2 linked regions of the Arabidopsis thaliana genome follow. The protein of the gene in region 2 interacts with the protein of the main gene of each other region in a pairwise test. Each region holds a gene or a part of one and is shown on either strand. Other genes may lie near its edges.

Evidence for each region.
Region 1: the proteins of AT1G52155 (region 2) and AT2G24250 interact in a protein complementation assay, tested with the Arabidopsis thaliana proteins (one large-scale study listed by BioGRID).

What each region holds. Positions count from the first base shown.
Region 1 is NC_003071.7:10,313,158-10,317,084, forward strand, and holds the start of AT2G24250 (LOW protein: F-box/kelch-repeat protein (DUF295)), read right to left. Parts: upstream 1,824-3,927; 5' UTR 1,702-1,823; intron 1,435-1,701; 5' UTR 1,404-1,434; coding exon 279-1,403; 3' UTR 1-278. Other genes in the region: AT2G24255 (LOW protein: F-box/kelch-repeat protein), read right to left, coding at 2,896-3,906.
Region 2 is NC_003070.9:19,415,153-19,419,079, reverse strand, and holds the start of AT1G52155 (uncharacterized protein), read right to left. Parts: upstream 1,647-3,927; 5' UTR 1,415-1,646; coding exon 1,277-1,414; intron 1,024-1,276; coding exon 947-1,023; intron 812-946; coding exon 583-811; intron 491-582; coding exon 336-490; intron 252-335; coding exon 206-251; intron 123-205; coding exon 31-122; intron 1-30.

The sequences.
Region 1 (3,927 bases), on a different chromosome or scaffold from region 2:
CAAAAAGCTCTTAACAGAATAAAAGCAAGAATAGTAGTTGTATGAGGGTATGGCATAAGGGGACGACATTGCTGCTATGCCTGCAACAAGTTTGATAAGAACATAGCTGGTTACCAACAAATCTTTCTAGACTAACTACAATAGACCATTGCACATTTGCTAGAGATCATGTATAGTTCGAGTTTTCAAGTACACAAAATCTAGACTTAAAATCAAAGGAAAACATAGCCTTTGATCTAATAAAAACAGAATAACAGTCTGAAGTGAGAATTTGCGGCCTAGCGTTCAACCCGGAAAGACAGGACCGGATCATATCTGTTGCGGAACAACACACGATTCTCCCTTGAGGATCTCCAACAATTGATATTGTCTTCAGCCTTTCTTTTATTTGTATGTACTCCATATTTATAGGGGTAAGTTACATTGCGTGACCCAACGGTGAACAAAATCGAGTCCCCAGTCAAACCACAACCATGAGGAAGCTCCTTAGCGGAGCAGTAGAAATTCCCCAGGTGTCCACCAAGAAACAAAACACGGTCTCCCAAATCGCTGACCTCAACCCATTCAGCAGCCTCCTCATCTAGCCTACTTACTCTACATCTTAGGAAGTCTGTCTTAACCAGGAAAAGCTCCTCATTGCCAGATGGAACCAGAAAGTTGGAGTCGATATGAGGTGTTAGGGGAGTCGCTTCCAGCGAAGAAGGATCGATAACGAACGTGTCCCCATTAAAGAAAGTTGCATAGAACCTTCCTCTAAAAGTGAATAACTCCTTACATGAAGCAGTTGAGGGTTTCTCAAGCCGAATCCATCTCATTTCAGTACTTCTTAACACCAAAAACAAATCAGTGCAGTCGAGGAGCGCAACGAATTCGCCTCCTCCTCCTTGTTCGTTTAGCGGAAGAAAAGCTGCACTGTATTCTTCAGGATTGCAACCGATCATCAATCTGTACTTATGGCCCAGAGGGATGATCTGGCAGTCAAGCATGTTCATCAAAATTGGCTCAGTTCCTGGAACATTGACTTTCACTGAGCACTGAAGAGGAGATGGAAGCTCCACATGATCATTTGACTTATCTTGGCCTAATCCTCCCAGAAAATATTCGGAGGAAGCATCAGCAGCATCAGGAGGAGTTAGAACTCTAAAGAGGAACAAAGGGACCTTCTCCAGGGTGCAGCACAAGTCTTTGCTTTCTAAAGGGAAAGCGGGAAGAGAGTAACTTTGGCGTAATAGAGAAGAAGGAAATGGAAATGTGGATCGCCATGAGCGGCAAACAGAGCGGGCATGAACAGCATCGAAATAGTGATCCTCTAGATGCGTTGAGATAATGTGAAGTAGCTCTTCAGGGAGCTGAGACCAGTCTGGCATTATCGATGATGTTGATATCTTCTTTTTCATTGCCATGCTTGCTGCTGAAGAACACAGAAATTTACTGCTGCAATTTCGAAAATTTACAACTTTTTTTTAGGGGTTTGATGAAATTGCTGAAACGATCCAACTCTTCCATTTTTAGAAAATTCTCAGTTCATTCTTGGAAAATAAAACCCAACAGGAAAAAATTGATTTCACTGAAGCTCCAAAGGTCATAATCAATTCTGGGTTTGATCAATTTGCCACAGGAAAAACTAAAAGTTGGTAACAGAAAATTCACAGTTCATTATAGAATATTCGCAGGGATTAAAGAGATAGGTCGTAGTAGTACCGTAACTTGGAGAAAAAGTTGGAGCTTCCTGCAGATTCTTCAGAGCCCTTTCGTAGCGTCGACAAATGGGGATAGAGACTAGTTAAGATTTAGAGCGAATTTGGTTTGGGGTTGGATTGATTGGGAAAGCAAAGAACCGAAGGGATTGAGACGGTTTATATCAAATGAGCCGGTTAAGACTTTGGTTTTCGGATAGACTTGAGATGACGTCGTTTTTGCATTATGTTGTTGTTATGTTTCTTTTCTTCGTTCTGTTGATTGTTTTGTACTCTTGTTTCTCTCCTCTGTACCCAAGAATATTTTTGATACTGATTTGCCAAGAGGTATCTTCGATCGGTTTGAATCTTAGGAACTCGTAAAGTGATGTGAGTTCTTGTTTTTGGAACGGTTAATAAACGCTAGTACGCAACATTAATGAAATAACACAGAGCTTGGTAACCCCATCAATGAAACTCCCTAGGCTAACTATAGAAGTAAGTTTCATTTTCCTTTAAAGATGATTTCAAGAACTTAGCTTTAGCTTTTGGAAGGAATTTTCTTTTCTCATTGACACTCTCTGGGAAAGTTCTGGCGTAACAGTATTAGTATGTGAGCTACCACAGTGGATATGCTCTGATCTTTAAAGAATCTAGTTCACTTCTTTTCATCACTTTGAAAAAACAAATGTCTACCCTCTCTATTCCACTTAAAAGCTATATTCTCATTCAAAATGACATCGGTATAATATGTTAAAAAGATGGAAAAGCTAACTTAAACGTCGAGAAAAATCAAAGACTCCAGGGAAATATCAACGAGCTAGAGTAATCAGCCATTGCTTTATTGAGGAAGTCTTCGGGAGCTACACGGTCAAAAGCAATGTAGTTTTCCTACATTTAGTCCATATCGTCGTCATCAAGCGCCAGTTCCATTCAAGTAGCAAGATTTTTAAACTGCACAAGGCAGCACACAATAAAAGATCAGTGACCAAGAAAAGAGTTTCTATATCGTGGCTAAACGTTTCAGTTTTGGACAGTGTCAAATTGTTCAAAAAGATCATGATGACGAAAAAAAGTTATAAGAACTCAGAACTGAGATTTAACTTCAACATTAAATACCAGTGATCCAACAATGGGTAACATGAGATATCACAAAATCCATACCTAAAAATATGATAGGAATTTATGTTTTTATTTCTCTAAAGCAGGATTTTACTGCCTAGCAGTCTTCATGGAGAGCCATAACCGGAAAAAATGGTTGAGTATCATCACACGATTCTCCCTTGAGATCTTTTACCGCACTTTGTTTATAGTATAAAAATGCATTGCCTGACTGATCGCCGAACAAAACTGCGTTCTCAGTCAAACCAAAACCCCGAGGAAATTCCTTAGCCGAGCAAGAGAGATTTCCAAGTAACAATACACAGTCTCCCAAATCACCGACCTCAACCCATTTACCAGCCTTCTCATCTACCCTCCTCACTCTACGAGCTAACCGACTAAAGTCTATTACAACATCATTTGGGATGATTACCTCAACCAGGAAAAGTTCATCTTTGCCATATGGAACCAGAGACCGTAATTCTCGCGGGTCCTGAGGTGAGGACAACAGAAGAGTCACCTCCAGCGAATAAGGATCGATAACGACGATTTGTCCTGAAAGAAAAAGTGCATAAAATCTGCCTCTAAAAGTGACTATATCAACGCATATAGTATATGGGACGTTCTCAAGCTGCTTCCACCTCATTTCAGCACTTGTTAACACCAGCAAAGTGTCAGAGACTTCGAGAAGCACAACAAATTCTCCTCTTCTTCCCTCCTTGTCTAGCCGAAGAAAAGTCGCGCGATTATATTCCCAACCGATCATTCTGTACTTATGGCCCAAAGGGATGATCTTTTTTGGAATAGATGCTGGGATCTTCACGTTCACTAAACATTGAAGAGCATCGGAAAGCTGATCATCAGCAATATCAGGAGATGGACCTTCTCGAGGGTGCACATGTTTTTGCTTTCTGAAGGGAATTCGTTGAACGAGGGAAGAGAGTAACTTGGGCGTAACAAGGGAGACAAAGGAAATGTGGATCGCCACAAGCTGCAAACAGAGCGAGCATGAACAACATCGAAACAGTTGTCCCCTAGATACTTCAAGATACAGTAGCTCCTCAGGGAGCTCAGACCAGTCTGGGGTTATCGATGATGTTGATGTCTTCTTCGTTTTGGGTTCTGCCATGTTTGCTAATGGAGACAGAAA
Region 2 (3,927 bases):
ATGTACTTGAAAAGTGGGATCATAACTTACCCAATATAGAGAAAAATGCAGAACTGAGCCCATTCTCGAATTAGTAGCCTGAGCCAATAGTTTTGTGAGGAGTTATCCATGTTCATGTAGATCTGCATAATTTAAAGTGAGTGTGAGTATAAACAATGTAGCAGTAAATTCAACATGATGTCAATCAAGAAAGATTTGGTCATACCACAGTTTCTGCCATTGCTACAATCTGCATAGCTCCTTGGAATTTTCTGAAACCATAAACATAAATAAAAACTCTTAGCAGATTATCTACTTCCATCAACCATCAAACCTGAGGGTAATGAAAAACGTACTTGAACATGATGTATTTAGCATATACAGCATCATGCATAGCTTGAACATTCTCATCTTCGATAAAACTCAGCTGTTCTCGTAACACCGCTAGATTTTGCGATATGTGATGGAATATAACATAGAATGAGATCATGTAGTTAAGTATCAGAAGCACCTGGAGGAGCAAAAAAAGATTGGTTCATTCATCATCTTGTAAGTAAGTAAAAGATTAGCTTTAATGAGTAGGTGAAAAAGGTAAAAACTCACTGCAAAATAAGGAACAGAAGCTCTGTATCCAACAAGAGTCAAATAAAAGACACAACCAAGTGAAGCTGTAGTTCTACGTTCGGTCAACGAGAGCCGTTCACAAGTGATGCAATAACCGTGAGAGATAAGTAAAAAAGACACAAATGAAGCTGTCTGAAACAGAACACCAGTCACATATACACCAAAAGACATCCATAGAGAGCAAATGTGATGGTGAAAACATGAATGCCTGCCACCAAATAACAGATTAATCAACTATAGAGACTTCGAAAACGATCTTTCGATAAAAAGGTTACTGAGAAATAATTTCTCAATATGACAAGGTAACATTAATGGAAACAATAACTTCACAAAGAGGACTTACCAAAAGAGGAAAGATAGTGTGAGCTGTAAGGCTTTGATTAATGGAACTGAAGCAAGAGTCCATTGTAAACTATTTGTCTGCTCTAAACAAAAACACAGAACCAAAATCAAATTGTGTTTCTTCCTTAATGAAAAACATAAAAGAGACAAATCAAAAACAGAATCGTCTGAATTCATGATTAAAACAATAAATCCCAAGTACCATTCTGCAAAAAAAATTGATTAAATTTTGAGTAATATTTGGAATTTGAGAAGAAGTTTCATAAACCCAAGAGTGAAAAATCCAAAATTTATCGAAATAAGATAGAGAAAAAATAGGAGATTTATTGACCTGAAAGTGGCGATTTTTGAAAGTGTTAACCGTCCAAGAACAAGCGGAGAAAGACCAGATCGTTAAAAAGGTTAAGTAGAGAATTGGGAGATGACGATATGAATCATCGACGCCATTGATGCCCTGAGATTCTTCCATTACAAAAGAGAAAGCTTTAATCTCAGAGAAGAACGAAGACAAAATTCTGTTTTTTTGATACTTACTTTTTTTTTGGAAGCTTCACATTTTTGTTGGGGTTTCTAATTCTATTTATGAATCTCTGTACTATTGACACTTGTCTTTTGCACTAATTAATCTTGGTTTTTTGGATAAACCAATTAATTGAGACTTAACTGCCCTTAGATCAATTCCACTAATATCTCCAACTAATTGCTTAGTTTCATTTAATGCAACTAAAATTTGTATACTCATAAAATAATCCGAATATTTGTATCATTTTTCTGTTTTCTATATAATAAAAATTGCTATTAAATTTTTAATAAATTATCCTGAATAAACTTTAAATCATAAACTAATTAATTTTAGTTTGTTTTGTATAATTAATAATAAATAAATGTGGTGTTTATTGTTTTGAACTTTTGAGTCGTCGGGAGAATAGGGGAGCATAAAAAGAAGGTGGAGAAGAGAGAGCAGACATGCGAACAAAATGGTCATTCAACTAACCCACTCTCTCCTTTTTGTCGTTGAGTTTTGATCACCAATACCCTTTTTTTTAATTTATGTAATTTTGTTGGTCGTTGTGACTTTTTCTTGATTTTGATATTTTATATGTTATGTATTATCTATGTAGTTCGTTGCTATAATTTCGTGGTGCAGTTTACCACTTAAATCATATGCTTATTTTGGTTGTTATAGAAAAAAAGGAACGTGGAAGACACTACAAATCAAATTAAAGTCAAAACATCAATTTCGTGGCATATGTAAAATAAAAAAATTGTAGGTTGATGATATATATTCGGACAAGTATCTGCAAGAAGATTAAAATATATAACGGGCAGAGAGAAAGATTCACGTAGGGAAAGATGCAAGCATGTCACTATTTCTTAAGAATGTTTATATGTAATCAACATTATCCATTTAGGTTTACTACAATCTACATTTAACAAATGTCTTTTTTTCCCATAACAATTAACAATGTTAATTTGATCAGAATAACATTTGATGTTAAATCTCAGCTATGCTAAACCTCTAAGTCTAAACACCTAACATCAGATCATCAAGTCGACGAGCTTTGAGATCATTAGAGAAAAGGATCTTGAAGCAAAGCAACAAGAACACCTCCATTTTGACTACAATAATGAATTTATTCCTAGTTTCATTTGGGTCAAGGGTCCGCTTGATTCTGACTTGCCGAACAGTGATATTCGTTCCATAACTATGGAAAAACATTTCTTTTATAAGATTTAGCATCTGACGAAAGATCTGATCCATCTTCCAAAGTATACAGGCCATAATGTAGATACACCAGAAGCTAAATCTTGAAAAAGCAGAGAGATTGCTTCACTAATTTGGCAGTTGCATGAACCGAAGCAAGCAATCAACTATAACCAGTAGAAAAATCTCCTGCAAATATAGCAATCTTTTTTTGTTATGAGTAAAAAAACAAACGAAATTAATCATTCTATTTTTCCAAATAGAACAATCAGTGGACAGATTGAATATCAGTGACCTATATAGCCTATATGAAACAAGTCCACCAATTGCAACAGCCGTGATACATAATGGACTGGGCTGAATTTAGGCCCGATATGAAGATAGCGGTCCAACGTTTAATTAAAACAGTCAATTCTACACTTTTTTGTGTGTACGTACTCTATAATGAAAATATATTGGTAATTGAAAAAGTTAAGACTTGAATTGAAACCACTTAAAGAAGAATTGAATTCATCATGATGAACAATTCAAATCAGTAGTATAATACAATTCTTTTACAGGCATTATTGGGAAAATGAAGGAATAGTACTAGTTAAATTAAAATATTTGAAAGAGAGTTGACAAAATAAAAGAAAGAAATTTGAGAATAGAGAAAAAGAAAGAAGGAAAGAAAGAAAGTGAAGCTTCAGCTTTAAGACGGAGGAGACGCATGCAAAGAAGGTAATGATGTTGTCTCTGTCTCCTACGCAGACCTCTCTCCCACGCCTTTTGTTATTTTTTATACGCCTCTGACCTTCCCCATTCCTTCTTACCTTTATTACCCTCCTATTCACTCTTTTACCACTCGTTTACTACTAGTTAAAACTTAGAAGTAGTAATATTTATTGGTATAAACCTCATTAATTTCATATTGTGGGCATAAATGTAGGAGTATAAGATTAGCATCCGTTAGAGATTAGTCACAAACATTACAACATTAAACGTTAACATTATCTATGTTGTTTTCCATGATTAGATCGAAGAAATTGCATGACCATATCAATGTGCTGTTAGTTCAGTGATAAATCTTTTAGGTGGAAGTGCTGAGTTCGAAACATATTGGGATGAATCTCTTTTCCATAAAAGATGAATTTAACCGAGTGTTTTTGAGTCTGAATTTTCAAATATTAAAAAAAAAAAGAAAATTGCATGACCATAATTTTTTTATTTATAAATATAAAAACTATAGTATAATAAAAAAACTATAGTATAACAATAGGTAATTTTCACAAATAGCA